Linked DNA regions of Arabidopsis thaliana. The protein of the gene in region 1 interacts with the protein of each later gene in a pairwise test. Each region holds a gene or a part of one and is shown in the gene's direction. Other genes may lie near its edges. The genes, in order: SEP4, AT2G38950 and AGL92.

Region 1 (10,546 bases):
AAAACTTAAAAGGCAGCAGTAATATGTCAACACGTGTCAGTACAGGCACGTGATGTGAGTATGACTGTTTCGTTCAATCGCAACATATGCTAAAATTATAGTTTTTGGAACCAACGTTAGATCGACACGTAGCCTACTCTGTCCCCTTACCATCAACCTGCGTAAGCTTCCCTCATCTTACGTTCTTGATTGTTAGTTAAAAGCAAAACTAAAGATTTGAAGAGTATCTTCAATAAAGTACAATTATAAATGTTAATTAATAAAATTGAATGTTTTACGACTTTTTTGGCCAACTTCTATTCGTGTTACCTCGTATTATGAACTAGGTTAAAGTTACTTTTTCTAATACATATCTTTTAGAATTTTATACTCCATATGATTTCTATTCTCTATCTCACTCTATAGAGTAATCAAAATAATCAAGCGATTCTTCAAATTCATATAACTTAGAAATATTTGATTCGTTTTAAATGGATCTTGATATTTGATAATTAATTAATAAAAAGATTTGATAGATTATTATAACATATATTTTATATTATTGAACACAAAATGATGATGTAAATACTAAGTTAGCGTTTTTTTAATTTGGATTAAGAAACACATACGGACTGAATTAGTGTTTTCTGATATGATAATCTAACAATCATAATCTACTTACGATCATATATTATATAGGCGAACAGCAGCAATTGCATGGGTTGCATATATTATCTATATTATATATAGATTTATTTTTCAGACGGTTTAAAAGTTCTTTTTCAAACAAGAAACATCTAACATGTACTATATTTGCAAAGCCAGAAAGAGCTGTTAAATTGTGAAAGAGATTCCAATAAATACTAGACGCAGAAAGGCAGAAAAAGTTGTTACAAAATCATGTCTCAACATTTTAAAATGCCTATGGTCCATCGAGTAGTAACTAGGGTTTTAGACCATCATGGGGTCTAATTAATGTAGTTTCAATTTGTTAGTCTAATTATACGGAAGAAACCCTGCAAAATGATGTTTGTAACCTATAGCCATTTAACAAAATTTTAATATTTTGGTCTGCAAAATCATATTAAATGATAATCGTACATACAAGGGACCTCTCCCCAACAGAACAAGAGAATTGCTACTAGCTACTAGTTACCCCAAATATATACATACATAAATGAACAGAATTAATAATTGAGTTTCTGAAAATGACTATTGTTTTTTTTTCTTTCGAATTGTACTAATAAAATAGCTTCATGTGGTTCTTGCAAAACTTACCTTTTTTTTATGTCAACCACTCACATTAAATTTAAGAAAAAAAAAATTGGTTATATAAACTGGAGAACAATACTTTACAAATGAATCAACAACGTTCCTAAGTCTAAAAGTATGGATAAATCAAGAATTAATTATGAGTTTACCATTTGTGGCATTTGTAAATTTTTCATAAAATTATAAAAATACGATTAACATGTGTTTTATTCGTTATGTTTGAATTTATTAGGTTTTATGTGTTCTTATAAAGTATGTATTTTAGTATTAAAAATCGTAAATTTAATAATTTTAAATGATCAAAATAGTAAATCCGTAAAATTTTAAGAAAATGGCAAAATTCATAAATGTCACTCCAAAAAATAGTAAAAATCCTTAATAATTTCAGAAAACACTATGTTTCAGAATTGAAAAAAACGAGAAATAAAGACAAGAGAAAAAAAGATACTAAATATATCACACTAGCTCCCATGGAGGAACTTAAAATCGTGAGAAAACATTTTGAAGAAAACTTGTCACTTTCATGCAGGTTAAGTATTATCAACTCTTAGATATATATTTAGCTCATAAATAAACTGACTAGTCTACATTAAACTTTAGTATACAGAGAAAAAAGGAAGATAAATCTCGTATTTTGAAATTTTTGCATCAATCATGCATCTTAAGCCTGATATTAAGATCTGAATTCTTTCAATAGAACGATCCAATTGACATCTTATTTCTAATACATCTAGTTGAACAATAATATTATCTTCTGCAAATATGACTAACTAATACTTGAGCCTTATTCCAAATTTTTCGAAAACAGGACAATAATGTATCATAATTATTTCTTTCTAATTAAGCTTATCATATATAATTATGCATCATTTAATAACTCCTTTTTCTTAAGTGATTACTGATTAGAATGATTAATAATGTATAGACCATCTCTAGGAGTAATTTGTGGAGACGTATAGAAAAATAATTATTATGACTATTAGGTGAGTACCCACGCTATGCGTGGGTTGTTGTTTTGAAAATTGTTTAGAAAAATTATGTTTAACTATTTTTATTGTTAATTTATGTTATTTTTGTGTATGGTATTTTGTAGTTAATAAAGTTATATTCATTTTTTGTAATTATATGTGTATAGTTAGATTCACTTTTGATTCAAATATCAATTATATTCTAATCTTTTTTCACTATCATGAAATACTTACATTAACAATACATGATACAATGGTATGCAATTATGTTTACTTATTTGGTTTGAAAGTTATCTAAATTGATTCTAAGCAAAAAATTCAATCTATGTATTCTCTCCTAATCTAATATTCCAATCATAGGCTCATAGCTAAATATTGGATTGACTTGATTTGAATAACAAATGTATAACTAACTATACTCATTTGCTTTAAAAGATTTCACATGAAAGAGAAAAAAAAAAAGCAAAAATTAAATAGTATTTTAGATCAACATTTTTAGGTTTCTCTCTTTGCATTTGCATATATCTCTATTGGAGAGAGTGTCGTATATTAAATTTTTTAGTATATATAACATCTCAAAAGACCATTACTTAAAAAAATATGTATGTAATTATTAATGTTATCCATTTATCGTAAAGCACAAAAAGACCTTATCATATAGAAAAAAAAAGTAATAATAAGAAAATACTAAGTTAAAATTCTAAACTAATAAAAGTTAGCAAACAAGTAAGTTGCAATACCCGAAAATTTCTACTCGTTATCAAGTAATGACTATTAAAAAATAGCAAAATAAGAAAAGTAAAATGAAAGTAGTGTTTAATACATTAACATGATTTTTCATATTTTTTCTTTTTGATGAAGACATTTAGTTAAGAATGGGATTAATGGGTGATTCAATGCAATGTGATTTTTTTTTTTTTATCACTAAGTTTTGTTATTTTTTAATGATATTAATTTAGAATGACATGTGGCACTCATTGGTGTGATGATGTGTTACTCATATGGAGAGTGTTGGCCAACTTTCATATATATAATTTTATCAGAGATCATTTCTAAACTAGACATTTTAAAGTTGTGTATTATCTACCTAAATTATCCATATAAAAGATGGAATAGCACATTGCAAGTATTATATCGTATTTATTCTTTTTAGATGTTTCCTAAAGCATCAATCTATATGTTGCATGTTGTAAGGTCACAACTTGGAACCATAAAAGAATGGTGGAGGATAGCAAGTGCGTAGAAGATAAGGATCATTTTACATGATAATCTGGATAAGACATGCGCATATACATCAAGTTTCCATCAACAAGATTTATAGTACCCAAAAGAAAGAAAGAAAAAAACTAATATTCCATCGATCTATAGAAGTTGAACAAAATAACTAAGGTACCAAGTGAAATATGAGTCAGCAAGCAAAGTTAAAAAAAAAGTTGTGTGAGACATATCACATGAGTAAATTAACAACAACCATCATCATCATGATGTAGATAGTATAAGATGCCATGAGAAGAAGTGAGGAAAAACAAATTAACCTGACAAGAAGCATCCTAAAAAATTAACCTGTCAAACAATTACCAACCTTTAAAGTGAAAAAAAAAGTTGAAAACACTAAGGCTTTGAGAGCTTAAATGTTCATAAACAATTTTCCTTTTTCTTGCCAAGATCAATCTGCAATTTTTGTGTCAAGCATGTACGAGTTATTGTTATAAATAAATCTAGAGTCGTTATGTGAGTTCTACTGTATTTTATGAAAATCGATTAACTAGTAAAATACATCAGTCTTCTTAAGAAGAGAACCTAAACACGAAACCCTCTAATAAATGCTAGATTGCATATTCTTACACATCTATATTAGTGTCAAAAACATGATTGGACTGATTTTATAGTATTGAACAAGAACGTGACTAAATTTTCAGAAATTGGAAAGAAAACAAAAACATGATATATTTCAATATCTAAATTTCACCATATATATATAAAAAGACATAGTGCATGTGAGACGTAAAAACCTTTGTAAATAAATTTTCTCTTTAAATAGTAAATAGTACCATATCAGATTAACCATTTCAGAGTGACATAATTTGTTTGTAACCGTATAGATCCGTTTTATGCATTAAAACGATCGTGAAGTAGCTGTCATACGAAAGAACTTGTCGGCAAGAGAAGCAAAGCATAAGCAGAAAAAAACATATCTTTTAGAAGCCTATCATTTTCTTACTTTTATTCACAAACACACACAATATACATTATAAGTGTTATCTACATAATCTAAACGTGTCAATACCTGAAAAAACAACAAAACTTTATTTGCACTTCTTTCATTTCATGAACAATACATAACCAGATATTAGATAGGACTTGGACTTGTGAATATGCTCTATTTAAGGCATCTTTATAGGTTATATTTAGAATCTTTTTCTTATTTCTTTTTTGAGCATATTATTAAACTATGGACTAGATCTGATGAAAGAAAGCAATCTATTTATATATTATGGTGTAAATATTATCTTTAAAAAATCCAATGGAGGAGAGTGAAAGAGAAAAGTTGAAGCATTTTGTTTGGACTATAGAGAGAGAGAAAAAAAGATCTTAACTCTCCTTAGAAAAGTACTAGGAATCAATTTTTATTTTCTGCAAAAACAAAAGTGTAAAAGAAAATTAATAATAATATATATTCCCTGATGAAGTAAGACTAAAATAATGTAACTACACAAAAATACTTTTTAGAATTTATAATATTTTATATTAATTTTTAAAAAAGGAAAGTTGATAAGATTGGATATAAGTTTGGAAGCATTTATTTGGCCAAGAATGGCTTAGCATCTCTGCAAAACCAACACAAAGCTATATTCTCTTAAAAATCAGTTCAACAAAAGAAGAACCTGAACACAGTTGGCCCACCACCACCACTACCACAATCTCCTCCTCCACCACCACCACCTAGTCACCGGAAACCAATTCATGCCCTAGATTAAGAACCAGAATCCTTTTGAGACAAGATCTATATATACACTCTACACATTTACTTATACACTTTATCTAGATATAGATGTGTGTGTGTATAAAGGTTCTTTTTCATTACTTGTTGGTTTAGTGATAAAAAGGAGGAGAGTTTTCAGTTGGGTTTTGGTTTCTTGGTGAGAGAAGAGAGAAAAAGAGAGGATGGGAAGAGGGAAAGTTGAGCTGAAGAGGATAGAGAACAAGATCAATAGACAAGTTACTTTTGCAAAGAGAAGAAATGGTTTGCTCAAGAAGGCTTATGAGCTTTCTGTCCTTTGTGATGCTGAGATTGCTCTTCTCATTTTCTCTAACCGTGGCAAGCTCTACGAATTCTGCAGCAGCCCTAGGTGAAAACTCTTTAATCTTTGATATATCTACTTTTTCCCTCAAAGTTTCTATATTTTGATCCATGTTAGGGTTTTGATTCTTAAGGATTATAAAGGATATGAAAACTTTGTTGTCTTTCTTGATTTAGTTACAATTAATTAGTTGATTAACTACGGTTTATTTATTTTGTGAGTTCATACGCATAAATCTGGCTCGTAAAGAGTGAGATTAAGTGAACGATGATCAAAGTACGTACAAAGCGTCTAAGTTGCTCTAGATGATGATTAAAGCTAGAGAGTAGAGACTATGGCTGAAAAAAGTACAGTAGATATGTGTAGAAGCTATAGAGCATATATAAATATAGTTAAAGCTTTTACACATGAGATTGAGTGTTGTTGATATTGTTTCCAAAGGATTGATCAGAGTTTCCAAAGAGACTAAGAATTGACCTCTGGATATATACACAAAGCTGTAAAAGATATAAAAAATACTTTGACTACTTCTTTAAGTTAGTATCTCTCTCAAGTACTACTTATGATCTTATTAAAGTTATAAAGAGACAACTGTGATGATACTCAATTTCACTAGCTACTTATCATTTCCACATAAATTTATTTTATTTTTCTTGCACAAACATCATGAGATTGATACCCATTTTGATGTTCTTGATGTTTTTACATGGAGATGCTTTTAAGGTTTTTTTTCTATATTATTCTCATAATGAAATTTAAAGTTTGGTTTATCAATATATGTTAAAAGTTAAAATGATCATTTGTTTTTATGAAAAGTGGTATGGCGAGGACGGTTGATAAGTATAGAAAACATAGTTATGCAACAATGGATCCAAATCAATCAGCTAAAGACTTGCAGGTACATATCTTCTCTTTCAATCAAAGACTGACCTCAAAGTTGTCCTTAATTTTATTTTAAATTGGCAGGATAAGTATCAAGACTACTTGAAGCTTAAATCAAGAGTTGAGATCCTTCAACATTCACAAAGGTACTTATATATCCTAGTCCATCTAAATGTAACTATATATGCTCTTGTTACTAAATGTTTCTTCTTTTTAGGCATTTGCTAGGTGAAGAGCTATCCGAGATGGATGTGAATGAGCTTGAGCATCTCGAACGCCAAGTAGATGCATCACTAAGACAAATAAGATCTACCAAGGTATATTTCTAAGCTTACAAAATCGACAAATTTTGTTTCGAATCTTTCATCCTAAATCGTTGTTTCGTTTTCATTGCCAGGCTCGGTCTATGCTTGATCAACTATCTGACCTCAAAACTAAGGTACATACTTTATATAATAAAAGTTGCACAATATCCAAATACAACAAGCTCTCATTTTCTCAATTTACAGGAGGAAATGTTATTGGAAACCAATAGAGATCTTAGGAGAAAGGTAGCTATCGGAATCTTTTACCGCAAGAAACTGAAACCATTTGTCATTTGAAATCTTCCTATTCTTTCTTTCTCAGTTGGAGGACAGTGATGCAGCACTTACTCAATCGTTTTGGGGAAGTTCTGCTGCAGAACAACAACAACAACATCAACAACAGCAACAAGGCATGAGCTCTTATCAATCAAACCCTCCAATTCAGGAAGCAGGTTTCTTCAAGCCTCTACAAGGCAATGTAGCATTGCAAATGAGGTATCTACAAACAAATAGTCAAGACCCTTGAATTATTTTACCTAATCAGAAATACTTAACATTTGTTTGTGCTTCTTTATTGTTTTGATATAATTAGCAGTCATTACAATCACAATCCTGCAAATGCAACCAACTCTGCAACAACATCACAGAATGTTAATGGATTCTTCCCTGGATGGATGGTCTGAAAACAATACATATCTATATATGTACACATATGTGTGTTTTATAGATCAAAGATCATTGCTTGTGTCATTTGATTTTTGCCAGAGAAACATAGTTCATTATTACAAAACTTTGTTATATAATCAAGGCTCTAATGTCAAACACCAGATTATTACTTTTTTGTTCTTTGTTTTTTGGCTCTCTTGAAATATAAAATATTGTTTTGGGAGCTTATTTTTGTTTTATTTTTGAACATCATATGAATTTGTTAGATTATGACAAAAGTTCTCCGGATTAGAACATGTCTCAAGAATTGGATTCTGAAACAAGTAGTGCTCTGCATTTGTATTAAGATTGTGATGTTGATAATTAAAACGACTAAATAATTTTTGCCAGGTTGGATTATAATGAACAAGTCCAAAATGTTATTTTAATTTTATTTTCATGGCAAGCACGTTCAAGAAATGGCTCCAACCAAAAACCAAACAAACATAACAGTATTTAAAACACAACTAAAACCTCAAAGAACAGAGAGAAGAAAAACAAGAATTAAGAAAATGGGGAAACCAGCAGGGTATTGGGTAAATAAGATTAGGACATCATTCAAAGGAGGATCATCGTCGAGCAAATCATTAGATGAAGGAAGTACTTCGGGTTCGAGAAAGAACGGTTCGAAGCATAGTAAGAATCTGAAAGCAGAGGATGCTAATAAGAATGGTGAAGGAGGAGGAGTTCAAGCTGAGAGTGGGAGGAAAGTGATGGTTGTTGTGGACACAACTTCACAAACTAAGAATGCTCTTCAATGGGCTTTAACACATTGTGTTCAAGATGAAGATAATATCACTCTTCTCCATGTCACAAGAACACCCGTAGGACAAGGTATATTACTCATATGTTGCATTTACTAGAACCTTTAATATAGAGGTAAAACCATTAGAGCCAAAACTCGAAACCTTGTTATATATCTTGCCTAGAAAACAGGGTGAAGACCGCTTCTTTTGGGTTTTTAGGCGAATCAGACCTTAGATTTGGTTTTGGGCTTTTTTGGGCCCAATGTTGTTTTCTGTGTGGTAGATTTGGTTTTGATTTGAGTATGGACAGGACTATAGCATATTTGACATCTATACCTTATTGAGTCGCTATTAACTAATGTGATCATTGTGTTAATAGCTATAGATGAGACACAAAGGGAGAGAAACTCAAGGGCTCATGAACTAGTTCATCCATTGAAGAATTTTTGTCAACTCAAGAAACCTAACGTAAGCTTTAAGCAACAGCAAACTGATATTGATTCAAAAGTTCTCCTTTGTTGACATTAAGGTTTATTTTCAGGTCAAAACGGAGATAGTGGTGGTTGAAACGGCGGAGGAGAAAGGTAAGACGATAGTGGAGGAATCAAAGAAACAAGGAGCAGGCGTTTTGGTGTTAGGGCAGAGAAAGAGAACCTCGAAGTGGCGCGTGATTTGGAAATGGCGTACGAAGGGAGGAATGGGAGGAGGAGTGGTCGAGTATTGTATTCATAACTCCGATTGTATGGCTATTGCCGTAAGGAAGAAGAGTAACAATGGAGGTTACTTGATCACCACGAAACGTCACAAAGATTTCTGGCTCTTGGCTTAATTTTTATTTCAAACAAATTCATCCCAAAATCTTTTTTTTTTTTTTTTTGTAATCGAAACGAATCTTTTTAAAGAATTCATGTTTTATGGATTAATTGATAATCTGTATTCGTTATAAGACCTTTTCTTATATATGTAAAGACTTCATATTTGTCAATGTTTGTTATTGTGTTCTACCTCAAAGTATAATAGAATAGTAACATTAAGCAAAGCTTTATCAAAAAGAGAGAAATAGTATAAGCAGAGAAAGAAGTCACATAGAGCAACATTATTTCATAAAGTAATATTATTACTTCAACATATAACGGTCATACCCTCCGATATCTCCTCCTCCATTCCCGACTTGAAACCGGTAAACACATGCTTTGGTGACGGCTCCGACGGTAACGACTGTAGTTGTAACGGCGGTTATTGTGAAACTGAGGTTGATACCTATTAGAGTGAGGACAAACAGGACAGTAATAGTTAGGAGACCCATATGATTTGCTTTATCTCTTTTGTTCTTCTACATATTACTATCATAAGCAGAATTATAAGTTATATTTAGTTGTCTTGTATGGGAATAATAGAAGTTACGTTATTGGAACAAAAAATAAGGGGAGGTCAAGATTTGAATGGCTGATTTATTGAAACGCCAGTTCAATTTCCTAGGACGTGACCAAGACTAGAGAATTTATTAATGTAATGTAATTGCATGTTCCCTTCGAAACAACGTTTCGGGTTACTAAGCAAACTTTTAGATATAGACGTCTTGGGAATTTGAATGCTTTTGTTCATAATCAATGAACGACAAAGGATAGTTTGTACTAAGTTAAACCGTTCTGACTTCTCGTAGTGATATATTCAACGGAATATTGTGGTTAGTGCGAACTCATCCGTCAGTAGTCCAATCCATACTATTTTTGGGATGGACAATAAAGCGATGCAGACTTAGTTTAAAGACCGTCTGCAGTTAGTCCGCAACAGTTTTCTTTTATTTTTGGGGGTCCGCATCATTACGGACTATAATTTGTGAATGATAAATAAAAAGCGATCCAATGTATAGACGCTTTTGTCCGCTTAGACAACTGTAAACATTGATATATTCTCTAACTTGTCAGTAGTTTATTCTCTAAAGCCTACATTAATATATATGCCTATTATATAACCTGTAAGTAGTTAAAATAGAATAAATTTTAATTTCACTAATCTCCTAATAATAGGCTAATACACTAATCATTTATTTTTGTAATGTTATTTTTCTGGCAGAGTAAACGAGAAAAAAAAAAAGATAGAGAATGGAGATACACTAATCAAGGTTGAGAAACTATTAATCACTTTAGTATAAGGAAAATAAATCATAACTTTAAGTTGATAAACTTAAAATTTTAACTATTAAAATTTTGGTGCAGCACAAATTAATTAAGCAGTTAAATCGTATTACATAAATTATTTAAAGAGAGTATTTAAAAATAGACCAATATAAATAGGAAATATACTCTAGTGAGCCCAAAAGATGACTAGTTAGTAAGTACAATGCTTTAAGTTATGTTGAAATAATATGTGAATTAATCTTTAAT
Region 2 (12,440 bases), about 15 Mb from region 1:
ATCGTGTCCTAATAATACCTAAGGTCCTAAACGAAGCAAAAAAGTTGGTAAATAAGGAAGAGAAAACCTACAAGATATTAAAACGGTGTCGTTGTTCGGAAGAATATACCGAAGTAGCAAAAGGAATATCTCATTAGAGAGTCCCTTATAAATGACCGTTTTAATACACTTCAACTCTGTCCTTGTTCATAGGCAGCTTCAACGATCATTCCACTTCCTTCTTCCTCTCTCTCAACATTTTCCCCTGAAAATAAGGAAACTAAAGATTCTTCCTCTCTCTTTCTACACTCTTCTGACAATACTAAAACACTTTATCAGATCAGATCCCACATAAACTTTCTGTAAGTGTTTCTTTTAAACTATGTCTGTTGATGTTAATGTTTATGGATGCATAATGATTTTAGTTAGGACGTTATCGTTTTTGTTTTGTTAGGTGGTCCTCTCTCCCTGTTCAATCTCTAATTCGTCATGTCTTATTCGTTTCTTTCATTGGAAAAAAAACACTGAAAACTAGTTTTTGTTTTTCCAACTTTCTTGGATCATTAAATAGGATTGCTCTCTCTTCAAACGTATTTTTGTTGGATCTCTCCTCTTCAGTTCTAGAAGACTTTTTTTTTTTTCCTTTTGTTGAGTGCATGATTTCAAAAAATTTCAATTGAAGAAGTTTGTGATATTTTGTTGTTTTCTTTCTTCAATAAGAGGTGTGTCCGCAATTAAGACAAAACAACTCGCTGTCATACTCAGTTAAAGTCTTTGTTGCTCGTGTTCAGATTTTCACTAGACGTCACAAGTCAACTTTTGTGGGTAACTGAAGACAAATAGTAATCGTTGAAAACTACAATAATAAAATAAGTACTTCCAGTGTCTCCGTTCACCTTTAAAAAGTCGAGATAAACCCAAAAAAATAGGAATAAACAATCTTTTGTCATATCCGTTAATAAGTTTTAACAAATCTTTACAAATTAATAAGAAGAACGTATATAATAAATATTTCAAAATTAACGAGTGTGGACTAATATTGAGTTGACTTTTATTATCACTTCATTTCAGTTCCTTGAATATGCATATACTGTATATGGTTTCTCTTGCAATAAGTAAGCATCATACATATGTACAGGAACATGAGAAGTTGTCGTTAACAACTACTTCATCTAAAAAACATACACATGTTATTTTTCTAATATTGCCTGACTTCAAGTTCGGTGAACATACTTTATTGGGTTGTAATTGTGAGATCAATGAAATGAGAAAAATTAAATAGAACTTTTATGATATTTTAATGTTAATTGATACTATATAAAGCAGGGTCTAATTCTATTTGCTTTTAAAACTGCCTAACTTATTTCAAGTTCGGTATAACTAACTACTTTATTGTTTGTAATGAGTTATTTAAGGGTACTTATATGTCGAACTTTTTTTTGTGTGATGAAAAATTGCAGAGGAGAAGAAGAATGGCAAGGGAACAATTACAAGTGTTGAATGCACTTGACGTGGCCAAGACGCAATGGTACCATTTCACGGCGATCATAATCGCCGGAATGGGATTCTTCACTGATGCTTACGATCTCTTTTGCATCTCTCTCGTAACGAAGCTCCTCGGTCGTATTTATTACCACGTGGAAGGCGCACAAAAGCCTGGGACTCTCCCTCCCAACGTCGCAGCCGCCGTCAATGGCGTTGCCTTCTGTGGGACTCTCGCCGGTCAGCTCTTTTTCGGGTGGCTTGGTGATAAGCTCGGGAGGAAGAAAGTTTACGGTATGACGTTGATGGTCATGGTCCTTTGTTCAATAGCCTCTGGTCTCTCTTTCGGACATGAGCCAAAAGCTGTGATGGCCACGCTCTGTTTTTTTCGGTTTTGGCTTGGATTTGGCATCGGTGGTGACTACCCTTTATCCGCAACCATCATGTCTGAATATGCGAACAAGAAGACTCGCGGAGCCTTTGTCTCTGCGGTTTTTGCTATGCAAGGGTTCGGAATCATGGCTGGTGGTATTTTCGCTATTATAATTTCCTCTGCTTTTGAAGCTAAGTTTCCATCCCCGGCCTATGCGGATGATGCCTTGGGATCCACGATTCCTCAAGCTGATTTGGTATGGCGGATAATCCTGATGGCTGGTGCTATCCCTGCGGCTATGACGTATTACTCAAGGTCGAAGATGCCTGAGACCGCAAGGTACACGGCTTTGGTTGCTAAGGACGCAAAGCAGGCAGCTTCGGACATGTCTAAGGTTCTGCAAGTGGAGATAGAGCCAGAACAACAGAAATTGGAAGAGATCTCAAAGGAGAAGTCCAAGGCCTTTGGATTGTTCTCAAAGGAATTCATGAGTCGCCATGGGCTTCATTTGCTAGGCACTACATCGACATGGTTCCTTCTCGACATTGCTTTCTACAGTCAAAACCTTTTCCAAAAGGATATTTTCAGCGCGATCGGATGGATTCCTCCCGCGCAAAGCATGAACGCAATTCAAGAGGTTTTCAAGATTGCCCGTGCGCAAACGCTAATCGCCTTGTGTAGCACGGTACCTGGTTACTGGTTCACAGTTGCGTTCATCGACGTCATTGGAAGATTTGCGATTCAGATGATGGGTTTCTTTTTCATGACGGTCTTTATGTTTGCTCTGGCTATTCCTTACAACCACTGGACTCACAAGGAGAACCGAATCGGATTTGTTATCATGTACTCGTTAACATTCTTTTTCGCCAACTTTGGACCCAATGCTACAACCTTCGTTGTGCCGGCCGAAATCTTCCCAGCCAGGTTCAGATCAACCTGCCACGGTATCTCTGCAGCATCAGGAAAATTAGGAGCAATGGTTGGTGCGTTCGGGTTCTTGTACTTGGCTCAGAACCCAGACAAGGACAAGACCGACGCAGGATACCCTCCAGGGATTGGGGTCAGGAACTCGCTTATTGTGTTGGGTGTAGTTAACTTCTTAGGTATCCTCTTCACTTTCTTGGTACCTGAATCTAAAGGTAAGTCACTCGAGGAAATGTCCGGTGAAAATGAAGACAATGAGAATAGCAACAATGATAGTAGAACGGTCCCAATAGTTTAGGTGATATAATACGCCTTTTGTAATAATTTTCGTTTTTTCTTTCTCCTTGTCTCTAGCAACTCAAGTTGTTCTTTGTGTAATCCATTGATACCTAATTAATGCTAGAGAAATCAAAATTTTCATGAGTCGATTTTAAATCAGTTCCTAAATTGAAGATTTATTAGACTTGAAGAAGCCGTGCAAGTTGTGCAGTATATATGTTAAATCACAATTTATGCGTTGCGGGGAAGTTGAGACCACAGATAAAGGCTTCACTTAAAGATACATTATGGCTTATTAATCTCTAGGGTGAAAATAACGAAGTGCTGAAGAAAAACTCTGTTCTTTTAACAAACTCCCTTGCACCGAACAACATTCTCATTGTTCATCGACCTATGGAAGACCAAAAACGATTGCTACTTTGGTAAATTTTGTAAACTTTAGGGCATATGAAAGCGGTGGGTATATATTATAGTTTCACAATGGTAAGAAAAATATTTGGGATGTTACAGTATTTTTAGGCATGGTAAAAAGGCCCATATTGGACATAAAAATATGTAATCCCTCAAATGAAGTGGAAATTAGATAATTTATTTATTTATAAAACTCTGAATTTAGATAATTTCTTATCTTTTGTTTTTGTAAAAAAGAATTTCATGTTGGATAAAATATATATTGCATTTATTGTGTGTGACTATCTTATTGGTGGACAAAATATACATTTTTTTAAAAAAAGTATTATCATCGGAAATTAGGTTTTTCGACGGGAAAAAAAACCAATCACCATAACAAAATCCAGAGGCTCTGTTGTTCTTGGGGTTGAATGTGTAATGTCTCATAAGTCTTCGGATCTCACTTCGTCCGGGTATGTGTTCTACTCGCTTTTCGTCTGTTAAAAACTGGACCTTCCGATCGCTAATCAATATCAATCTTAGCTTTTTTTCGTCTTCCGGTTTTAGATTTTGTATCCTAAGCTCCGATACTCTTTACGAGAAGCGTTTTTATTTCAAGCTCAGAGTCAATCTTAGTATAGGGCTGCTAATGGTTTTCATGTCTTGGATCACATCCTGTGGTTGAAAAAGGAGTATTCTTTACTGATTCTTTTGAGAAAGCAATAACCAATAAAGTAGAAGGCTCTCCTTCGTAATTGACCTGGAATCTGTGATATAAGTATTGAAAGTACCATAATTTACAGTTTGTCTCTCAGTTCTTGAAAGTTTAGATGCTGTCTAATGATATATGGTGTATGAGTTTAAGTTCCTAGACTAATCAAGAAGACCGTTTCTGTGATCTTTGTGATGATGACTGAATCTTCTAAGTAGCAGTCTTTTTCTTCACACCTATCATTTTTTAGTTGAATAACGTATCGTAGTTACTGTGTTTAATCACTTGGTTTATACTTGACATTAGATTTCTTTCCATCTTCTGCAGGAAGTTGCATCTTTATTGACCTCATCTGAAGTTCAATTTATTTCGTCTTCCGGAAATCAATCCTTTTGGTGGCTGTAAGGTTTAATGGGCATTGAAGGTGTATCAACGTATTTGAAATCTGGAAATATGGACACAATTTCTGCTCCGCCAGGTTTTGTATCTCAAACATCGTTTGTGCTGAGGAATGTACCCCGAGACAAAGAAAGTCCCAGGTCCGTGTCGAGACAAGAGCAGACAACTGGATTCGGCACAGATGATAAAGATAGTTGCAATATGTTTCTTAAAAGCCGACCGTGGATAGTGCATGGTCACACAATTCCCAGCTCAGAGGCCTTAAGGCCGAAAAAAACTGAGGTCTCATACTATGTCTACCTCTTTCCTCTCTATCTTCATATAGAGTAGTTTTTAGCTTTGTATGCTGTTGAGAAGAGCAGTAAAGGGAATATAGTTATTTGAGAATTTTGAGCTTAGCCGTGAGGACAATGGTTCGACACCTTGTTGGAGGAGGGTCTTTTGAGTATCCTTATTAGAGCAAGAGCCAATTTGTTGTGGAGGAATGCTTTTCCTTTTCTTTTTATCAAAATAGTTATGTTTTCCTATTATTTTTTAGTTCTTTAGTCTATTATAAACATTCTTTGAGTTCAAAGAGGAGATATTTCTGGGAAATATGCATAGTCATTACTACTAATAGACATTATACTTGATTGATGTTTAAGTTGTTAGTTAAGCCGGAAATTTCATGTTGTGGATTGCATAAGTGATTTAGTATGAATTCTTTAGAGCTTGATGTGCTGATTCGGGTAGGTCTACTATGCCTTTAAGACGTATGAGAGTATAGGTATCATGATTGTGTGTTCATCCTTTCACATTCATTACTAAAGTATGAAAAAATGCTTTTCATAGGTACGGAGAAGACGGCCCCTCAAAGTGTCTGAGACCAAAGTCCTTGAGGAAGCTCCTGTGTTCAACCCAACCGAAGAGGTCAGTTTTGTTTTCTTTTTATGAAAGAAAAATTAGGGTATTAAACTAAATTATCTTTGGTAAAGAATCATGTACTCTTACAGAGGAATATATTCCTTTTCCTCTTACCCAGTGTTACTGAATTATCAGGAATTCAGGGACACACTCTCATATATATCAAGCTTGCGTGACAGAGCTGAGCCGTATGGAATCTGTTGTGTTGTTCCTCCACCTTCATGGAAACCTCCATGTCTTCTCAAGGAGAAACAAATATGGGAGGCTTCTACATTTTTCCCTCAAGTTCAGCTCTTTGGAATTCAGACCGAGAACCGAAAGATTAAAAAGGAGGTTGATGCAGATAGTAATGATGCTGCATCTGAAGGGGTTCAGTTATGTAGAGTAGAACGTGGTCCTGGGTATACTTTGAAGTCCTTTAAAAACTTTGCAGATACATACAAGAAGAGTCATTTTGGCATGAAGGATGAGGTTTTGGGTTCAGAGAACTCATCTCCATCACTTAAACCAAATGAGCTAATTGTGGCAGACATTGAAAAAGAGTACAGACAAATTGTTGAGAGTCCACTTATTGAAATTGGGGTAATGTTAAAAACAGTTGTTCTGCTTTTATATATGAAACGGAATATATCACTAACTTGTCGTGTAAATTTAGGTGCTTTATGGCAATGATTTAGACACTGCAACGTTTGGAAGTGGATTTCCCTTATCTGCACCATCTGAATCTAGCAAATATTCATCAGGTTGGAATCTGAACAGTACGGCTAAGCTTCCTGGTTCTCTTCTATCATTAGAAGACTGCGAATCAGTTTGTGTTCCTCGTCTAAGTGTAGGAATGTGCTTGTCTTCCCAGTTCTGGGTAAGTTTTAAGGTTGATGTCAAGCTATGGTCGTCAATTTCTGAAAGCATAAGTATAACTGGTCAACGCAGAAATAGCATTTGTTTTGCAAACTACCACTAGAATAAATTTTGCAGCATTGTAAGTTTATTAATCTAATTTGCTTGTGTAGTCTCATATTTGTCTCTTGGAATATCTGTTACTGAACAGAAATCTGAGAAGGAGAGACTCTACTCTCTCTGCTATTTGCATGTGGGCGCTCCTAGAGTGTGGTATTCCGTAGCAGGATGTCATCGATCAAAGTTTAAGGCTGCCATGAAAAGCTTCATCCTTGAGATGTCAGGAGAACAGCCAAAGAAGAGTCATAATCCTGTAAGTATTTGAACACATTAAGCATCAATACAAGTTACTCTTTTCAAAATTCCGAAAGAAAATAGACAGAAGAGTGACCAACAACGATTCCACTTGCGATTTAGTTCTTGTTCAGCATACACGACCATGACATGACATAGAGAGATCACACAGTATTTGGATTTATCTGTTCAAAGCAAATCCTATCATTACTTTGTTAAATTTTTGTGAGCTATTATATACTAGTATTGGTTCATTTACAAGGGAAGCAATTCATTTGGCAGGTGATGATGATGTCTCCATATCAATTGAGCGTGGAGGGTATACCAGTGACCCGCTGTGTCCAGCACCCTGGCCAGTATGTTATTATATTTCCAGGGTCGTATTACTCTGCCTTTGACTGTGGCTTCAACTGTTTGGAGAAAGCAAACTTTGCTCCCCTTGATTGGTTGCCCCATGGGGATATTGCTGTTCAGGTGAATCAAGAGATGAGTAAAACGTCGCTGATATCGTATGATAAGCTATTATTTAGTGCTGCAAGGGAAGCTGTAAAATGTCTTAAGGAATATGGGTTGTCGAAGAAAAACACAGCATGTTACACGAGATGGAATGATTCTTGTGGGACGGATGGGTTGTTCTCCAACATAATCAAGGTAATACTCACTGCTCCTCCTCTTTGCTTGTCTTATTCCTCAGATTATGCACTAAAACCTGCGTAGAATAACTTCCTCAGTACCTTTTGCTAATTTTGTTTCTCTCTTTTATGTAGTCACGGATCAAACTGGAGAAAAATAGACGTGAATTTCTTATCAGTTCACTAGAATCGCAAAGGATGGACAAGAGTTATGATGCTGTGAACAAAAGGGAATGCTGTGTATGTCTTGGGGATTTGTATCTTTCCGCGGTTAACTGTTCATGCTCTGCTAATCGTTACTCGTGTCTGAACCACATGAGGAAGCTCTGTGCATGTCCGTGTGACAGAAAGAGTTTTCTCTATAGGTACACTATGGATGAGTTGAATCTTCTCGTTGAAGCCCTGGAAGGTAAAAAGCTCAGCTCTATGTTCAGATGGGCAGGCATAGATCAAAAATTCTGTGCTTCTCCAGCCACCACAAGTTCAAAACCCGAAGAAGACAAAGGCAAGGAAACAGATGAGGTTACACCCTGTAATATCACGAGGAAAGATGTCGCAGCTGGAACTAAGGACCAGACAAGAGTGAAGGCGAGATCTTTGGCTGATATACTGAATGTTAAAGATGGAAACAATGATGCAAAGGAGACTTTAGAATCTTGTTCTAAGAAATCAAACAGGCCATGCGATAACGATTCCTCTGAGGCCAACGCGCCAAAGAAACAGAAGCAGTGATGAATAATGAAGGAGATTGTAGTTTAGTCACAAAATGCAAGACGATAAAAACACTTTTGTCTTCTTCTTAAATCGATATATGAAGCAACTTTTTTTTTTGGTAGGCGATACATGAAGCAACTTGATATGTGTTTTGTTTGTTTTGGCTAATAGACAAAAACATTTTTTTGGTTTCACTAATATTTATTTACGTTGACTCTAACTAAAGTAGAAGGAAAATATTTGACGAAAATACAGAGCCGTTGGATTTGATGACTTTATGAGATTGAGATTAGTTTTGACTTTCTTTTTTTGAGAGCTGCGGTTTTGTAAAAATGGCCCACAATTTCTCTGAAAATTCAAAATTCAGTGCCGGAGATTACTCGTCGTAGTCGTCTGTGTCAGATTTAGTTCTATTTGCGATAGTGCGAATGGCGGAGACGGACGTCGGAAGTGTGAAGGGGAAGGAGAAAGGATCGGGAAAGCGCTGGATTTTGCTGATCGGAGCTATAGCTGCCGTTCTGTTAGCCGTCGTGGTCGCTGTGTTTTTGAATACTCAGAATTCGTCGATTTCTGAATTTACCGGAAAAATATGCAATTGCCGTCAGGTTAGGTATTTCTAAAAGCTCTTTGTAAGTTTCTGAATTGGATACTTGAGCTCGTGATTAGCTTTGAATCTCAGCGATTACTTTGATTTTGATTTGTATACTAGACTTCTCAATCGTTTTGATTTTGTTGTTAGGCTGAGCAGCAGAAGTACATTGGGATAGTTGAAGATTGTTGTTGTGATTATGAAACTGTGAATCGGCTAAACACGGAAGTGTTGAATCCATTGCTTCAGGACCTTGTTAAGACACCATTTTACAGATATTTCAAGGTTGGTTCATATTTCTTCTTTGATCATGAAAGTATCTAGAGGATTTGGAGGTGTGTTGTGATAGGTTTGAATGCGTTTAATAGGTTAAACTGTGGTGTGATTGCCCGTTTTGGCCTGATGATGGCATGTGCCGGTTAAGAGACTGCAGTGTTTGTGAATGTCCTGAAAGCGAGTTCCCTGAAGTATTTAAGAAGCCATTAAGTCAATACAATCCTGTTTGTCAAGAGGGGAAACCGCAAGCTACTGTTGATCGTACCTTGGATACTAGAGCTTTTAGGGGTTGGACAGTCACAGACAATCCCTGGACCAGTGATGATGAAACTGACAATGGTAACTTTTCTTTACAGTCTACTTCATTTTTGATTCTTACATGTCGAAACTCTATCGCTACTTCATATATAACTGGCTCATGAGATGATATGTAACAAGTAGGGGTTTTAGCATCGAATTGCTATGTGTTAGATGCAGTTTTTGATGACTGTATATATGATCGCAGATGAAATGACATATGTTAATCTTCGGCTTAATCCTGAACGGTACACTGGCTATATTGGCCCATCAGCTAGAAGGATATGGGAAGCTATATACTCTGAGAACTGTCCCAAACGTAAGCTTCACCATATTAAAGTGTTTCTTGTTTTCTCTATTTGTTTCTTTATACTCTTATTCTCCAAGTGGCTGATTAATTCATATGGCTGTCTTAACTCCTGCAATTATACTGGCTTCTATAGATACATCTGAAGGATCTTGCCAAGAAGAGAAGATCTTGTACAAATTGGTTTCTGGTCTTCACTCATCCATTTCAGTTCATATCGCTTCAGATTATTTACTTGATGAAGCTACAAACTTGGTAAGATCTGCCGTACGAATCTGACTTATCTGTGATATGTATTTCTTAAGCAGATATAGAATGACTCAAAGACTACTTTTTTTTGTATTTCAGTGGGGTCAAAACCTGACGTTGTTGTATGATCGTGTGTTAAGATACCCAGACCGCGTTCAGAACCTATACTTCACATTTTTGTTCGTTCTTAGAGCAGTAACAAAGGTCAGTTACTTACCACTTTACTTTTCTGTCTGGATCCTAGGAAAAGGGTCCCAGTGGTCTAGAATAGTCACAATTAGTTTTTTTTGCATGATTTGTAGGCAGAAGATTACTTGGGAGAGGCTGAATATGAGACTGGTAATGTGATTGAGGACTTGAAGACCAAATCTCTGGTGAAGCAAGTAGTTAGTGACCCCAAAACTAAAGCAGCTTGTCCAGTACCATTTGATGAAGCAAAGCTCTGGAAAGGCCAACGTGGACCAGAACTGAAGCAACAATTAGAAAAACAATTCAGAAACATAAGGTCCTTCTTGAGTCCTTTAACTAATTTTCTTGAGCAATGATAAAATTTCCACTGACTAGCTAAGTTAAATTCTTTTTTATTACTTGAATCGTCTTGCATTGCAGTGCAATAATGGACTGTGTAGGCTGTGAGAAATGCCGTCTATGGGGAAAGCTTCAGATTCTCGGTCTCGGTACTGCATTGAAAATTCTATTCACTGTCAATGGTGAAGACAATTTGCGTCATAATGTGCGTTTCTAACACACCTGGAGACGCATTGTCCATTTGCACCGTGTATTTTCTTTAAGCGTCTATTGGGAACGGCATTTTAGTGATGTAGCAATCTTTGTTGTTTTGTTTCAGCTCGAATTGCAAAGGAACGAAGTGATTGCGCTGATGAATCTTCTCCACCGATTATCTGAATCCGTGAAGTATGTTCATGACATGAGTCCTGCGGCCGAGAGAATCGCAGGTGGACATGCCTCTTCAGGGAACAGCTTTTGGCAAAGAATAGTGACATCTATAGCGCAATCAAAAGGTAAGAAAGCATTAAAGAATTTGTAGACTTTAATCGTGAAGTGAGACAAGAGGTAGAAACTTATTTTCTCTGGTCACCACTTGCTGAAATGCAGCTGTATCTGGGAAGAGAAGCTAGATGTTCAATGAGGTCTGGGGGTTGTGGGATCAAGCGCAGTGATGGCGGGAGAGTATACTTTGTTGTAAAGTAAAGAGAGGTTAATTTTGCAGGAAACAGTTATACAAAGCCCCGTTAGATGCCAACCCGAAGCTGAGAACTTTTTGATTTACCCTTTAACGTGAATTTAGAGAATCTTACATGAAACTAAAAATATTGTACGGATTTTGAAATTTGTTGACAGTCCCTTCTGAAGTAAACATAGAATGGGTGGAAAAACGTGAATGAAGAGAGACATTTTTATTTGTTCGGTATCAGTTTAGGCATATCATAAATTGCCTACTCACCAAAGCTCCCATTACAAAATGTTGGGGTTTGGTTTACAACTTCGCAGATTTAACTACCTGAAACACATGCAATGTATAAAACCTTGAGGATAACTACTCTTGTATAGTAAAACTTCCAATTTCTTCAGGAAAACCTGATAACTAGTGTAGAAGTTATCAACCATTGGAATAAAGGTCTTTTAATATTGCAGCTGCATGTAAAAACACTAATTGTTTGGTCAGTGGTGCTATTCACATTGCATATGCATAAATATCAAAAACAACTGTTGGGTTACAATCAGTGTCATGCCAAGGTCAATAGAAATTTTCAAATTTCCCTGCACACTTTTATTTTAGTGCAAATGTATTCGAAACTTCGAAGTTGTATATACTATCTTGATGATAACTGCTATGTAATCCTAACTTCCTAACTCTCCGGATTTGGGAGAGCTGGAGAAACGTAGAGCTTTGCGTATAGTAGTAGTAATCAGCAACAAATTACGCAATATTTTGAAATGATTCTCACATGTAATGCAAAGAGGTTGCCAACAAAATTTAAGTGTATATTACAATTAAAGACGAAAAAGCACTAAAAAGATAATAAAAAGAGAGTTCAGCTTTTGCGGTTGACTTAGGCCAGAAATAGTGCGAGACATAAAGAGACACTATAAAGGGAATCCTATCCTCCAACCTCAATCAATGAACACCTTTTGATTCTCTTTTGTTCTTTATTATTGCCTCTCCATATAAAATTATATGAATACATTACGTACAAATTCAGAAAGACAGGTTGGTTAGTAGTTAGCATTGTAGATAAAGATCGATATATGGTATCCAAACTTTAACTCATTACATTCGATTTTTTTATAATGAACGTGAGGATATGGAAGTCCTTGTTCTGGTGTTCTTATTTTTCATTTGCAGCGTCAAGGTGTTAGTATAATTGCATGGCAAAAAGGTTTGAGAAATTTTCTTTTTATGCCCATCTTTTTAAAAAAGTTAGGCTTTTAAATATTCATCGCTTTCAGAAAAATTGGTAGTTTGCAAGAACAATAGATGATAAAAAAGGTAGTGGGAACAGACAAAGGCCATTGAAAACACTCAGTCTTCCGATATCAGAGTTATCTCCATTAAGTATTTATTTCATTTTCTTGCTTTTGGCTCAAACTTTTCTCTATTACCTACTTTGCTTTTTGGTATCTTTAAATTTGAATCTCGATGTATCCAAGTTGGTAACTGCAAACTATTAGCACCACAGCTGTCATGTTCTTCTTCTTGGGTGATTCCAAATGTTTTTCTT
Region 3 (9,100 bases), on another chromosome or scaffold:
AGGGTATGTGTACTGTCATTTGGATGTGGAAGCTATGAAGGAGAAATTTTCTAAGTTATTGCTCGGCGAAGATGTCACTGGGGGATGTAAGGGTGTCCAAGTAGCTTTGGCTTTGTCAAATGCTGTAACACATCTTGCTAGTATGTTTTACAATTTCCTAGCATTCTTAAGCTTTATGTTCTTTGATATGGTTAGAGGTTTCGTGTGAACTGTTAAGAGTAACTGACTTTAATGAATTTGCAGCGTCGATTTTTGGCGAGCTCTGGAAATTGGAACCTTTGTGTGAAGAGAAGAAACAGAAATGGAGAAGGGAAATGGATTGGCTACTTTCTCCAACTAACTACATGATTGAGTTAGTCCCTTCTAAGCAAAATGATGCCAATGGAAGATCACTTGAGGTACGTAGCTAAGGTGTTAAAATAAATAGATATACTCCAGAGGAAGAAACTGAGCTGAATCCTTGTTTTAACAGATAATGACTCCGAAAGCCCGCGCAGACATTCATATGAATCTCCCAGCTCTTCAGAAGTTGGACTCAATGCTAATTGTGAGCGGATTATCTCTTTTGTTAATCTTGTCTTTTCTTATTCTTCTATTTCCTGATCTGATTAAAGTTGCATTACAACTCCACAGGAGACACTGGATTCTATGGTGAACACAGAGTTTTGGTATTCTGAGATTGGTAGTAGAGCTGAAGGGAAGAACAAGAGTACAAGTGAGAGCAAACGATGGTGGCTTCCATCGCCACAAGTGCCTAAACCTGGACTCTCTAACTCAGGAAGGAAGAAATTGCTTGACAAAGGAAAAGTTGTTTATCAAGTCTTCAAAGCTACAAAAGCCATAAACGAAAACATTCTTCTTGAAATGCCAGTTCCCATTGTTATCAAGGAAGCAATACCTAAAGTAAGCTTGCACTCTTTATTATCCCTTGTGATAGTCATAATTATACAACTACCTCTAAAATCTTGTTTTGTAACAGTCTGGAAAGAACAGCCTCGGTGATGAACTGTACAAGATGTTGGCTGTGGAATCTGCAACAGTAGATGAAATCTTTATATCGCTCAATCTGGGAACCGAACATGCAGCACTCGAGACAGTTAACAAGTTAGAATCTGCTATGTTTGCTTGGAAAGAAAGGATTACAGAACAAGGCAGCAATGGTAAATCCCCTGTAAGAGCATCGTGGTCATTCGCTAAAGATCCGTTGTCTGAAATTGGTCGCAATGAGTCACTCTTGAACCGAGCAGAAGCGCTTAGAACTCAGATCAAATCCAAACACCCTAATCTCCCTCACTCGTTTCTTGATGCTACAAAGATCCAATATGACAAGGTATAAATAAACAAAACTAACTACATCTTTCTTAGTCCAATGGTCTGAAACATCTTTCTTCTCTGTGTTCAGGACATAGGTCATGCGGTTCTCGAAGCATATTCCCGAACACTTGCGAATCTAGCTTTCCGGATTCTTTCAAGAATGGGAGAAATCTTGAAAGAAGATTCTTTAAGCAACCCTAACTCTCCTGCACCACCGAGTTGCTTCCCTAGCTCCCGTGACCCTTATAGGACACCTGAGAGACCTCTGCTTTCGTCCCGTGTAAGGCATTCTTTAACCGATGACATGAACAAAGCCGATGGGACAGAGACTGGTTTAGATTTTTTGTTTGCAGATGCTAAGGCAAGTAATTCAGTGAATACAACTCCAAGTAGAAGCAGTAGACTGTGGTGTTTGAGTAAAGTGCCTTCTGATACTTCTCCTTGATTTAGAGGGTCTTCCTAGTTCGATGCGTGCCACCTGAAGCTTCTCCTTTACTTTGAAGGTTTTAAATTATGAAGCCTGAGATGTTGTAAATGTATTAACATATTGCAGTTAAAGTACGAATTCATACAATTTTGTTCATAACTTCACGGTGAAAAGCAAATTTTTAATCCGGGAAAAAAAATTGATACGATTGATTATGATTAAATTTATTAGTCTCTTCCAGAAAATACTTTACAAAATAAGGTATATTCAAAACAAAAATGTCCAAAACCATAATCTATTTATAATATACTAGACTAGAATCATTTTAATTACTACTTTCTTGAAATCTAATTTGAATCTCAATTAGGTTACTATCCCGACTTCCATCTTTGAATGAAGCATTAGCTGTCATCTCGACAAATGATCAACTAACAGGTATTTTCACCAAGCCACTATCTTTTGCACACTTCCATTAAGTCACTAGCAAGATTGGAGTATAAGAAGTCTTCATTTAGAAGGGATCTATCTTGGTTGGATATGTACATATTATGGGCTTAAGGATAATTTGAAATTAGCACAAAGCCTTAATGAGTTTCCGTTTGTACATACTACCTAATAAGTATAACAAAATGGCAAGCTTCACTTCGTCTATCATCCCGACACTAATGAGGTTTTTTGGGTTGGATTTAAGTTCAACTGTGCCATCCGATACTAACACAAAATATTGTTAAAGGCCAATTATGCTTACTAACTCAAAGAAAATCGAACAGACCATAATTGTTTTCAATATAGCAAGTATAGAGATCAAATGGATCTTGATTACCAAAAAACTGTTCTTGTAAAAAATTTCATATACATATAACTCAATAAGGACCTATAACTTTTCAAAAGATTATTTTACCATATTTAAAAAATCTTTAACTAAACTTTTGAACATGACCTATATATATAGTTCAAACATCCTAACTAGACATATAAATAAAAATGAAAATTATTGGAGGGTCTTAATAAGATACTCCCCCATTATAATCATAACTAAAAAAAAATTTAAGATAGAAAGAAGAGAAAATTTCTCAAATAAGAACTTTGGGTATACTAACTAGAACTTTACAATTGTCTCTTTTTAATTGTTCATTTTTATTTTTAAATTAAAATTATTAAAAATATTAAGACTTTAAAAGTTGGGATACTTTTTTGGGATATGTGAAAACCATTGGAAGTGCTCTAAACCTCTTGTCAAATTTCTAGTTTCAAATATTTACAGCTCATAATTAGCTGGCAGTACAATGAATATTTTAACCAAATTAAGAAAAATATATGCTCCAAAAGGTATAATATATGCATGAATTCATAATTTATCTCTAAAATAACTGATTTTCTTTTATATCCAATCATGATTTTACACGTGTACATTAATTGATACGTTTTAATGTCATAAATAGTCATATTAGTGTATAAGTCAAAAGATGGAAAAAATCCATATATATTATTATATTAATGTATAAAGACAGTTTTACCCTTATTTCCTTTTAATTAAAATCAACTTATTGACTAAACAAAATTAGATGGACCTTCTGGCCATGGCAGATTTTTTAAAAATATTTTATTAAAAATTTAATTCATATAACTAAATCTGTGATTTTAATATTTTATAAGGAAAAATTTCTTTATTACTTTATTATTATTTTTTATATTTTATTATTGTAAAGATAAATTTTTATACATATAAAAGAGCATTTTTTATATATTAAAACATGATAGAAATTTTAATGATATTTATTATTTTATTATATTGGTTTACAAACTTTTTTCTATGTAGGCTTCCTTTAATGTCTACATATTTCAAAATTTTCGCTCGTTCTAAATATTTCGTAAGACACGTTAATTCTTTCCCGAAATAATTTTACTATAGATAAACAAAGTTCCTAAGCTTTTATATATTCATGATTTTACATGGAAATTAAGCTGTAAAACTCTATTCGAAAAGAAAAGAAAAACACTTAAAATATTAGAAATTTTCACAGTTTATCAAAGCTTAATATTACTCTTAAAAGAAAAGTGAGTAATATACGAAGATAAACTATATTTAGTAAAGAGAAAAGAGAATCCAATCTTAGTCATAGCTTTAATTAGTGGCCTAATCAATTAATAAGACAGTAGCCAAAAGATTTAATGCTGTAACTACAAATTAATGAGTCCAGAAACGTGATAAGCCACACCCTGAGTAAAAAATCACCCTTTTCGTTGCTATATAAACAGTCTTGGGCCAAGAAACTAAACAAACACAAACACCAAAGAAAAGAAAAATAAAGATAATGAGGACGAAGACTAAGTTAGTACTCATACCTGATAGACACTTTCGGAGAGCCACATTCAGGAAGAGGAATGCAGGGATAAGGAAGAAACTCCACGAGCTGACAACTCTCTGTGACATCAAAGCATGTGCGGTAATCTACAGTCCGTTCGAGAATCCAACGGTGTGGCCGTCAACCGAAGGTGTTCAAGAGGTGATTTCGGAGTTCATGGAGAAGCCGGCGACAGAACGGTCCAAGACGATGATGAGTCATGAGACTTTCTTGCGGGACCAAATCACCAAAGAACAAAACAAACTAGAGAGTCTACGTCGTGAAAACCGAGAAACTCAGCTTAAGCATTTTATGTTTGATTGCGTTGGAGGCAAGATGAGTGAGCAACAGTATGGTGCAAGGGACCTTCAAGATTTAAGTCTTTTTACTGATCAATATCTTAATCAGCTTAATGCCAGGAAGAAGTTCCTTACAGAATATGGTGAGTCTTCTTCTTCTGTTCCTCCTCTGTTTGATGTTGCGGGTGCCAATCCTCCTGTTGTTGCAGATCAAGCTGCGGTAACTGTTCCTCCTTTGTTTGCTGTTGCGGGTGCCAATCTTCCTGTTGTTGCTGATCAAGCTGCGGTAACTGTTCCTCCTCTGTTTGCTGTTGCGGGTGCCAATCTTCCTGTTGTTGCAGATCAAGCTGCGGTTAATGTTCCTACTGGATTTCATAACATGAATGTGAACCAGAATCAGTATGAGCCGGTTCAGCCCTATGTCCCTACTGGTTTTAGTGATCATATTCAATATCAGAATATGAACTTCAATCAAAACCAACAAGAGCCGGTTCATTACCAGGCTCTTGCTGTTGCGGGTGCCGGTCTTCCTATGACTCAGAATCAGTATGAGCCCGTTCACTACCAGAGTCTTGCTGTCGCGGGTGGCGGTCTTCCTATGAGTCAGTTGCAGTATGAGCCGGTTCAGCCTTATATCCCTACTGTTTTTAGTGATAATGTTCAATATCAGCATATGAATTTGTATCAAAATCAACAAGAGCCGGTTCACTACCAAGCTCTTGGTGTTGCAGGTGCCGGTCTTCCTATGAATCAGAATCAGTATGAGCCGGTTCAGCCCTATGTCCCTACTGGTTTTAGTGATCATTTTCAGTTTGAGAATATGAATTTGAATCAAAATCAACAGGAGCCGGTTCAATACCAAGCTCCTGTTGATTTTAATCATCAGATTCAACAAGGAAACTATGATATGAATTTGAACCAGAATATGAGTTTGGATCCAAATCAGTATCCGTTTCAAAATGATCCATTCATGAATATGTTGACAGAATATCCTTATGAATAAGCGGGTTATGTTGGAGAGCATGCACACATCCCTTTCATGGACGGAAACTACTACAACTACCACCAGCCACCAACCGTTGGTCTTACTTCCACCGGTCACATGCCTTCCACCACCACCACCACCACCAACAACAACAACAACAACAATGTGTGATGTGTTTCAGTAGTGTGCATTTTGTGTTTTGTTTGTTTTAAAAGACCAGTATTTAATTATGCTTTTCCTTTTCAATTAGTTGTTGTAAGAGTTGAAGGTTTTACCTTTAAGTCAGTTCTATTTCAATGAAGTCATTTCTGTTTGGTCACAAATTATTTTTTACGAGCTTTTTGTTCTTAAAATGCATAACTAAATAGATCTGCCAAAATCAGATAGGATTTTGTTTCCAAAAAACATCAATACTTTTCAAGCCTTCATTATGGTTAAATACTTATATGATTAAATATTTTGAAGAGAGTTCAGGACGGAAGTTGTATATATAGGAGGAGAAGTACCATTGAGTATATATACGAGGAGAACCATTGTTGAAATTGGTCGCAGTGAATCACTCTTGAACCGAAAAGAAGCGCTTAGAAATCAGATCAAATCCAAACACTCTAATCTTCCTCACTCGTTTCTTAATGCCACAAAGATCCAATATGGCAATGTAAACATAAACAGAACTAATTACATCTTTCTTAGTTTATGTTCTGAAACATGTCATACTTTACAATACAATTATTTGTCGATATTAAATCCTTCTTCTTTGTTTTCAGGACATTGGTCATGCATGGGCTTCTTGAAGCATATTCCCGAACACTTGCGAATCTTGCTTTCTGGATTCTTTCAAGAATGGGAGAAATCTTGAAAGAGTTATAACTCCCTTGCACCACCGAGTAGCATCCTTAGCTCATGTGACCCTAAAGAGCACCCCAAAGGCCTTTGCTTTGGTCCCGTGTAAGGCCTCTCCGATGGGACAGAGACTGGTTTTCTATTTTTTGTTTGCAGTTGCTAAGGCAGGTAATTCAGTGAATACAACTCCAAGTAGAAGCAGTAGACTGTGGTGTTTAAGTAAAGTGCCTTCTGATACTTCTCCTTGATTTAGAGGGTCTTCCTAGTTCGATGCGTGCCACCTGAAGCTTCTCCTTTAAAAACCGTTTTAAAGACTGTATTAAGATTGAATATGGTTAAATTGATTTGGCTCTTCTGAAAATTTTAAATAAAAAGCTGAGATATTAAGAAAATAAGGTATATTTTAGGATATGCATATATTATGGGCCTAAGGTAATTTGAAATTAACACAAGCCTTAATGTATCTCTATCTGTACCTATCACCTACTAAGTATTCATTAAGATTTTTTTTTAGAAAAATGGCTTCCTAGCGTTCTATTTCAACTATAGGCTTCACTTCGTGTATCATCCCAACACTGACGAGGTTTTTTGGGTTGGATTCAAGTGTGTACTTCAACTAAGAACATATTTTTGGTGACCAGTTATGCTTACTACAACGTTCAGATAAGATCGACTATACCTTGAATTGTTTTAGTATGTGTAAATTAAATACATAGATTAAACGGATCGTGATTACCAAAAAAAGTTCTTATGTATATATATGGACCTTATTTAAGATATCTATAGTTAAACTTTTGAACATGACCTATAACTATAAGTAGCTTAAGTCGCCCCTAACTAAACATATAAATAAACATGAAAATTAGTGTTTTATGGCAGATGAAAGTTATTTATTATCTGAGCCAAAAATATACGGTGAGCTTGAAATAAAATTTAGCATTTAAAGAGAATGGAAATTAAACTACTACTGGATTGAATTATTTACCATTCTCTCATGTAATATCTTCTACTCTATAGTATTTTTATAACTATTTGAAAACATTTAATCAAAAATCAATAAATATGCTATTTATTTTAGAGAAATTTCTACATTTTGTAAATGTAATTGATAAGAAGAGAACCAGTCAAACAAAGTCTAATTAACGATGTGCATTCTTGTTTTTCTTATTTTTTGGTTATTGTTAGACCTCCATTTTTTTTGGATTCTCTCTCATTATAATCATACCACACAAAAAAAGTATGAGAGAAATAAGAGAAAGGTTCTTAAATAAGAACTTTTGGTATATTAACTTGAACTTTGGGTATATTACACTTGTCTTTTTTTAATTGGTTCATTTTTTGCTTTTAAACCAAAAATTAATATATAATTAAACTATATTTAAATATTAATACTTTAAAGTTTAGATATTTCTTTGGGTATGTAAAAACAACTGGAAGTTTTCTATACGTAGTCTAAAATCTTTAATTTCCCTATTTACAGCTTATAATTAGCTGGCAATGCAATGAAATATTCTAACCCAATAAAAGAAAAAGTATTCTCCAAAAGGTATAATATATGCATGATTTAACAAATTATCTCTAAACTAATTTATTACTGAGCCAAAAGAGGAAAGAAATCCATCTATTAATGTATAAAACAGTTATTTTATCCAAATTTCCTTTTAATTAGAATCAACTTAATGATTAAAAAAAATCAGGTGGACCTGCAGGCCATGACAAATGTTCTTTTAATATATTTATTAAAAAAGTTCATATAACCAAATCTGAGATTTAAAAAAATATATTTTTCTCTAATACTCTACTATTATATATTTTCATTTGTTATTATTGTAAGTATCAAATATTTTTACTAAATTAATTAATATAAATTTTAATGATATTTTATTATCTTATTATATTGGTTTACAAACTTCTTGGTATGTTCTCCTTTAATGTATATAGGTAGTTTAAAGATTTTCTTAGAAATAGAACACATATTTCGTGAGATTCATGTTACATTGTTTTCAAAAACTTTCGTGCTTTCTAAATATTTCGTAAGACTCACGTTATATTGTTTTCATTTTTTTTCTATAAATAAACAACTCTTTTGAGCTTGTATATATTCATGATTTTACATGTAAATTGAAGATGGAGTACTCTATTTAAAAAGAAGAAAAAAAAACACTTCAAACTATTACTAAATTTCATAGTTTATAAACAAAACTTTAAATTACTCTTAAAAGAAAAGTGAGAGTAATATAGGAAGATAAACTATTCTTAGTAAAAAGAAAAGAAAATCTATTCTTAGACATAGCTTTAATTAGTGGCCTCGTCAATTAATGAGACAGTAAACACAAAACAAATCTAATGAGTCCAGCAACGTGAAAAGCCACGTACTGTGTAAAAGCACAATTTTCATTTCTATATAAACAAGACAGTCTTGGGCCAAGAAAGTAAACAAAACACACACCAAAGAAAAGAAAAACAAAGATAATGAGGTCGAAAATTAAGTTATCACTCATAGCTAATAAGACCTCAAGGAGAACCACATTCAGGAAGAGGAAGGGAGGGATAACGAACAAACTCCATGAGCTAACAACTCTCTGCGGCGTCAAAGCATGTGCGGTAATCTCCAGTCCGTACGAGAATCCAGTGGTGTGGCCGTCAACCGAAGGTGTTCAAGAGGCGGTTTCCATGTTTATGGAGAGGCCGGCGACAGAACAATCCAAGCTGATGATGAGTCATGAGACCTACTTGCAGGACAAAATTACCAAAGAAACAAAGAAACTGGAGAGTCTACGTCGTGAAAACCGAGAATCTCAGCTTAGGCAATTTATGTTTGATTGTGTTGAAGGTAAGATGAGTGAGCATCAGTATGGTGCAAGGGACCTTCAAGATTTAAGTCTTT

The links.
Region 2: the proteins of SEP4 (region 1) and AT2G38950 interact in a two-hybrid assay, tested with the Arabidopsis thaliana proteins (one large-scale study listed by BioGRID).
Region 3: the proteins of SEP4 (region 1) and AGL92 interact in a two-hybrid assay, tested with the Arabidopsis thaliana proteins (one large-scale study listed by BioGRID).

Annotation. Positions count from the first base shown.
Region 1 is NC_003071.7:1,124,238-1,134,783, forward strand, and holds SEP4 (K-box region and MADS-box transcription factor family protein), read left to right. Parts: upstream 1-5,030; 5' UTR 5,031-5,384; coding exon 5,385-5,569; intron 5,570-6,337; coding exon 6,338-6,419; intron 6,420-6,487; coding exon 6,488-6,549; intron 6,550-6,620; coding exon 6,621-6,720; intron 6,721-6,800; coding exon 6,801-6,842; intron 6,843-6,912; coding exon 6,913-6,954; coding exon of another isoform or gene 6,955-7,005; exon of another isoform or gene 7,006-7,030; coding exon 7,031-7,203; intron 7,204-7,300; coding exon 7,301-7,391; 3' UTR 7,392-7,601; downstream 7,602-10,546. Other genes in the region: MRH6 (Adenine nucleotide alpha hydrolases-like superfamily protein), read left to right, coding at 7,926-8,247, 8,539-8,627, 8,701-8,988. UniProt on the Arabidopsis thaliana protein: Probable transcription factor that binds specifically to the CArG box DNA sequence 5'-CC (A/T)6 GG-3'. Plays an important role in the determination of flower meristem identity. Involved in the specification of sepal identity.
Region 2 is NC_003071.7:16,257,049-16,269,488, forward strand, and holds AT2G38950 (Transcription factor jumonji (jmj) family protein / zinc finger (C5HC2 type) family protein), read left to right. Parts: upstream 1-3,754; 5' UTR 3,755-3,900; intron 3,901-4,466; 5' UTR 4,467-4,550; coding exon 4,551-4,820; intron 4,821-5,369; coding exon 5,370-5,447; intron 5,448-5,576; coding exon 5,577-6,023; intron 6,024-6,096; coding exon 6,097-6,300; intron 6,301-6,489; coding exon 6,490-6,651; intron 6,652-6,914; coding exon 6,915-7,283; intron 7,284-7,399; coding exon 7,400-7,996; 3' UTR 7,997-8,222; downstream 8,223-12,440. Other genes in the region: PHT1;4 (phosphate transporter 1;4), read left to right, coding at 1,452-3,056; ERO2 (endoplasmic reticulum oxidoreductins 2), read left to right, coding at 8,407-8,583, 8,718-8,852, 8,936-9,182, 9,349-9,459, 9,584-9,702, 9,796-9,900, 9,999-10,201, 10,306-10,429 and 2 more.
Region 3 is NC_003070.9:11,319,133-11,328,232, reverse strand, and holds AGL92 (AGAMOUS-like 92), read left to right. Parts: upstream 1-4,056; coding exon 4,057-5,314; intron 5,315-5,404; coding exon 5,405-5,541; downstream 5,542-9,100. Other genes in the region: ROPGEF14 (RHO guanyl-nucleotide exchange factor 14), read left to right, coding at 1-140, 244-398, 473-547, 634-903, 980-1,330, 1,403-1,759; AGL86 (AGAMOUS-like 86), read left to right, coding at 8,686-9,100. UniProt on the Arabidopsis thaliana protein: Putative transcription factor.